Linked DNA regions of Kluyveromyces lactis. The protein of the gene in region 1 interacts with the protein of each later gene in a biochemical or structural test. Links are inferred from orthologs where the notes say so. Each region holds a gene or a part of one and is shown on either strand. Other genes may lie near its edges.

Region 1 (3,106 bases):
TAGGCGTGTTCAAAGAGCCTATTTGCTGCAAACTCGATTCCTCTGACAGGAATGAAAGATCCATTGCAGACGAGAGGTTGGAATCATTCATTGTTACAGTACGCCATAGAAATCAAACCTACAGATCATTCATGTAATGAAACCGTCTGATGAAAGTGTATTTTTACTCTTCTTCCAACAAGATTCGCACCCTATTCTTCTCTTTTGACAGGACCTAGTATTCTTCTTGTCCATTCAGGATGTAAATATGATTTGATCTCAAATTGTGTCTTCTTTTTCCACGAAAGTGTAAACAAAAGAGAGAAAAGGATCATCACAGCTGAATATTGAAAGACAATAAATAGGTTATAAGAAGACAAGGGCAGGTCGGCACGGCGCACCTATCAGTGCCATTCTTGAGCCGCTAATGATGTATGCGCAAGGTCATGAATGTATTAAACATATGCGTATATATGATAGTATACATACAGTATTTTACAGAGCTAAAGGATAAATATTGAAGAGATTTAGTTCGCTCTTGATAAAATGAAAATGATATTTATTCTGTTAATGCAAAACAAGGAGATGGTTAGGATGATAAATAGAAAACGAAACACCGAAAAATCTGGTTAAAATTTGAATAGTATTTGAACTTTGACCATTTTCTTATAAGATCATGATTTTCTTTATTCCGAATCCTCATCATCTTCTTCGGCAGTTTTCAACCAAGTGATGAATGGCTTGGCAGCTCTACGAACCTTCTTAGAAACATCCTTTGGTACAAACTTCTTAGAGCATTTGGTACCGAAGCTGATAATCTCTTCTTCGGAAATGATGTCGTTGTTGTATAATTGGACCAAGATCTTTGGTAGTAATGGGATCAATTCTTGGTGATCAAGTCCAAGGAATCTTTCAATACCACCCAAAAAGTTCTTTTCGAAGTCTTCGTCCTTCAATAATTTTTGCAAGAACGCAGTATGTTCAGAGATATCCGATACGATATCTTCATCGAAAAGAACTTGGGCCAGAACTGCAGCAACCTTTGGATCTTCCAGAAGCTCGAGTTCTGCAATCTTTTTGTATAATTCAATATCGGTAGGTAGTTCTTCTTCATGTAGTACCCATTCACCAAATTCTTCCAACTTGGAGAATTCGCCAGTTTCTTTGTCAGCTTCACCTTGTAATTCTTTCGCACGAGCTCTGATGGCTTCTTCAGACATATCAACGGCCCAGTCCTCATCCTTGACTTCAATGGTAGCCAAGTTAGAGGCAGCGGCATTAATTTGTCTGGCCAATTCATCATCATCGGAATCGTTTTCTTCGGCATCGTCACCAGCTTCAGCTTGGGATTTACCTTGAGCGATATCACTAATAGAAAGACCACCACCTCTGACATTAGCAGACGCAGTGGCAGCCTTCTTCTTTTTCTTGGAACCGTTCATACTGTCAGGAGGGTTCTTTAAGACGAACGAGGACAACTTATGTCTCAAATCCATAGGGGTTCTCTTACCACAAGCTTTACAGTCTCTAACCAAATCACCATCTTTAGTGATAACAATTTCAGTTTCAGGATTCTTACAGGATCCACAAAGGACAAACTTAGTGATGAAACCATCCAATACGTCCTGTAATTTGGCTGGTTGATGAGCACCATTGACAATGTAACGATCATTTTCAACATTGATAGCAGTTTGGGCACCCAATTCAAACCCGAAATATTTGATGATGTATGGAGCTGGTCTGTTTAAAGCACGGGCAACATCCATGGTATTCATAACAACAGTTTTGATACCATTACCTCTACCTTCAATCTTAGCCTGAATTGGAGGCATTTTATAACGGTAGAAAGGGTCATTGTTGTCTCTGCAAATATTGATTGACATCTTCGGCTACTGTTACTAATCTCTAGTCACTTGTTTCTGCTACCACCGTGTCTTTGACGTTCTTCAAGTCTGGAAAACACAAAAACTTTTAAAAGTAAGTTCGAACTGATCCTGTATTGGACTGTAAAACGGGGTCATTAACGCCTTCTTGAATCATGTATATGGAAGAAGTTCATCTCATCTCTTAGAAGTTCAACTTCAACTCTTCGCGTGTGGCAATCAGATACTGAGGCCTTGATTCCTGAAAAATTTTCGTCGTTTATGGTGATATGAAAATACATGTCGAAACGGAGCATGTGTCACGTGCTTTAGCTCCAACGATTCATTTGGCTCTGTGATTGTTTAAGCATCGGTTCTGTAAGAGACATATTACAGGGTATAACATGGGTGAGATACGTATGGTGGTGTTAAATGTTTGAATACCTTCAATACAATTACTGCTCGTGGAATTTAGTGAGTAATTTACTGTGTTGAAATTGTGCTCGAATCTCACATACATCTTAGGGTCGAAATCTAACTTTGTTCATATCATGGATTTACTTAAGAACAAATTACTGGCAATCCATAAGACTGGCGCATGGGCCATTCTGCCACCTAAAGAAATTGATTTGGCTTATAAGGAAACGAAACTTTTGATAGATGCTGGGTTAAATGGGCTTGACGAAATTAGTTATTTCTCAATGGTCGAATTATTGTTTTATCTTTGTCTTGTTCGTGGTGAAGACACAGAGGCTGAAACATTGTACAAAACTGTGACAGATCGTCTAGGTGACGATTCTCCAAGAATTCATGTGATGCACTCTATGTTAATACAGGTCACTCGATCCGATGATGCGGCTAAGAAATATATCGAGGATTTGATCAAGAATCAGCTGGAAATAGCTACTGATTCAGAAGACTACGTACAGATGAAGAAAAGGCTACTTGCGATAGAGAGACCTTCGATGAGTAAAGAAAAATGGGTAAAAGAACTACTGGATCTGGTTGAGAAGTTTCCTCTAGATGCAGAAATATGGTCGTTACTTTCGCAAGAATACCAGGAGGCTGGGGACCTACGTCAAGCAATATATTGCATGGAAGAAGTCATAATTGGGGTGCCGTTCAGTTATGAAGCATTTGGTCAATTAGCTTATTTGCATTACTTGAAGTCTCAATCAGATTCTGACCCTGAAGCTGCTTTGCAATCAAGTTTATCAAATGCGTTGAGATCTGTTGAGTTGGCAGAAGCCTACGTGAAAGGTTGG
Region 2 (2,888 bases), on another chromosome or scaffold:
ACCGAGTAACTTACAAGATAAGGAATTTTCCTTTTATAAAACTAAGGTGGATAAGGTTCTAGAAAATGTATTGGAAAACGAGGGCACAAGATATGCGTTGAGTGAAATATTCGCCAACTTGAACGATTCAAAACGGGTTACAGATTTAATTACAAAATGGATGCTGTCGGATATGTCGGTGAATTCGTGGTGTCCTTCTTTCCGTAAATTGATCGAAAATGCACAGATATGATATTTTAACTGGGGGAAGGGTTTCAGATTATAGAGCTTAAATTTAAATTGATCTTTTAGAGCATTGATCTCGTCGTTTTGTTTATAACAACTAAATTACAGATTAGATAAAAACCATTAGATAACATACACAAACAGAAAAAAAATTAATAATGAACGTGAAAGAAGGATGAAGATACCTTCTATTCTCATTTCTTTTCAAGTATTTGGTGTTATTCATATGTTATGTGTGAATTGCACGATGCGATGCTCCCTGGAGAAAATATTCAACCATGAATATATTAGCTATGCCTTATGAGGTTTATTTGATTCCTTTCGAACTGTATCGTATTGAACATTAGAAGATTGTCGAAGTTTTTTCTGATTTTTCGGTAGATGTTAATGATACTACTATTTTGATACGTCATATCAATTAATCTACATTCTCTTTCTCTTACCGACGGTGGCTTGGAAACCGGTCTTGATGGAGGAAACGGATCTAGTAGAACCGCAACTCTTACAAACCAAGAAGAACAATCTGTTCGATTGTTCCTTCTTCAATACGGTATTGATACTCTTACAAGTCTTACAGGTGACATATTCCAGAATATACCTTCTTAATAGATTTTCCATTTGCTTTGGCAAGAACTTACCCTTGATGACCAATCTCTTTTGACCGTCAACAGAACCTGAGGTACCCAATTCCGCAAATAGATACTGGATTACATGTTCTGGGGATCTTTGTAATTTTTCACTAATTTCTTGGATGTTCGCAAATATAGTCTTCTTACCATCTCTTTGACAGATTGGTGGAGGGATCTTGAACTTTGGACCTGATCTATCACCGGCCAATTCAGGATTATTTGTGTTCAAAATCTTAAAGAAACGAGACAATAGGTCTTGGTATGGTAGGCCAACATCTTGTTGAATGCTAGAATCGATTTCAGTTGGAGTGGCCTCCTTGGCAATATCATCGACTGAAATACCTGCTTGTTCTAATTGCTTCTCAAAGTCATCCACACTGCTCTCGGCAGCAGCAGCCTTCTTCTTCTTTTTCTTCAACTTCAATTCGCCTAGAGCATCTGAAATGTCGTCCACTTGCTTCTCAGTGGTTTCTTCACCTTCCTTGCTCTTCTTCTTCTTCTTCTTCAAACCAGCAAAAAGATCATCTGTTCCCTCGGTGGAAGCAGCAATCAGTTCTTCCGGAACTACCTTCTTGCTCTTCTTCTTCTTCATCGTTGGATCGAATCCTAAGTCGGCCGCAACATCAGTCATCGTTGAGTATCTTTGTATCTTCTCGCTTCTTGCTAATCTCCTTAGTAATAACGGAAAGGGCCTTGAACTTTACACGAACTAGACTCTTGCCAACAGATTTCCACAGAAGTTGTCTTACCCTTGTGCAAATATGAGCTGAAGAATCCAATAGGATATTGAATAGCGATGACAATTGCGATCCAGTCGTTTCAATTCTCTTGGTTTTCCGAAAACTCACTATTTTCAAAATTTTCCCAGGCCACGCGATAGTGTTGTCATTGTGCACGTTCAGTGTTCGGGTAACACACGTGACTTATCTATTCTTTGGCCTTTGAGTCTGGTTAGATAAAACTCCGCTTGTTGGGCGCATGAGGTAGGTGTACCTATGTTTATTGATGATTAGTATACAGTTATGTACATGGACATTTGGTTCATATTTTATGCTCAAATTGGCCACAATACAGCTTTCCAGCCGAATGATTTTTTTTTGACCACGGTTCATTTTCAGAGGAAACTTATTCTAGTTGAAGCTTTTCAGTTTGCTCTCTTAGAGCTTCTGTAGCTTCTTTGGTCACTTGTTCAATCTCTGTACCTTCTCTAAATTGGACGTTGTCGATAGATGCGGGCTGTGAGGCTTGTTCTCCTTCCTTTTCCGATGAAGTTTCTTCCTCATTTTCGGTCGATTCGGGTTCCACGTCGAACTTCTTCAAGTAATATGTTTCTATCTCTTCTTGTCCGTTGTTTTCAGCTTCGTAGATGGCATCATGGTCGAAATTATTCCTGATGAATGGATCAGCCTCATACTCTTCACAAAGAAGCTGTACTATATCCAATTTACCATTCAACGAAGCCCAGTGCAATGCAGTGTTACCTGTTTCGTTTTGCTTGTTGACCCATTCCTTTAGTTTATCCTTTGGGAAAATGCTTAGTAGATATTTTACCACCTCGAAATGACCGTTGGCGGCTGCCATATGCAAGGCAGATGACTTAGACAATTCATCTGTACATTCAATGAGTGCACTTGGATCTATCAAAGTGGTAAAAATATCCTTAAGAGACTCCAAATCTCCAGCTCTTGCATCAACGATGATAGCTTCTTGATCTTCTTGATCTAAAGGTCCTGTATGTAGACTCATCTTACAATAATTTCGTTCTGTATTTTGGGCTTGATTGCGTAGTTTTCCTGTTCTCTGTTCATATCTTAGCTCATCTCATCTCATAATCCAAATTCTGTGAACTTTTCAATTTTTCATGTTAAAAGGTTACTTTTTCTTTTTCTCCGAAATAGATGTGCTAAAGGCTTTAAATATAATTCAGGACATCTCTGAGCACCTCTCTTTAGAACAACATGATCACGCCTACATCGGGAGAGTGTCAGCTGCGCCTTCAAGACCTGACATCGGTTTCACAAAATGTCAAATAAA

Evidence for each region.
Region 2: the proteins of TIF5 (region 1) and SUI3 form a complex in vitro, tested with the Saccharomyces cerevisiae proteins (6 studies listed by BioGRID, with this or other methods). The link is inferred for Kluyveromyces lactis from reciprocal best matches to the Saccharomyces cerevisiae genes TIF5 and SUI3.

Annotation. Positions count from the first base shown.
Region 1 is NC_006041.1:552,021-555,126, forward strand, and holds TIF5 (translation initiation factor eIF5), read right to left. Parts: upstream 1,863-3,106; coding exon 666-1,862; downstream 1-665. Other genes in the region: BIR1 (survivin), read right to left, coding at 1-91; EMC2 (Emc2p), read left to right, coding at 2,393-3,106. UniProt on the Saccharomyces cerevisiae protein: Catalyzes the hydrolysis of GTP bound to the 40S ribosomal initiation complex (40S.mRNA.Met-tRNA[F].eIF-2.GTP) with the subsequent joining of a 60S ribosomal subunit resulting in the release of eIF-2 and the guanine nucleotide.
Region 2 is NC_006040.1:750,540-753,427, reverse strand, and holds SUI3 (translation initiation factor eIF2 subunit beta), read right to left. Parts: upstream 1,486-2,888; coding exon 649-1,485; downstream 1-648. Other genes in the region: ADD37 (Add37p), read left to right, coding at 1-232; YAR1 (Yar1p), read right to left, coding at 1,980-2,600; RTP1 (Rtp1p), read left to right, coding at 2,877-2,888. UniProt on the Saccharomyces cerevisiae protein: Component of the eIF2 complex that functions in the early steps of protein synthesis by forming a ternary complex with GTP and initiator tRNA.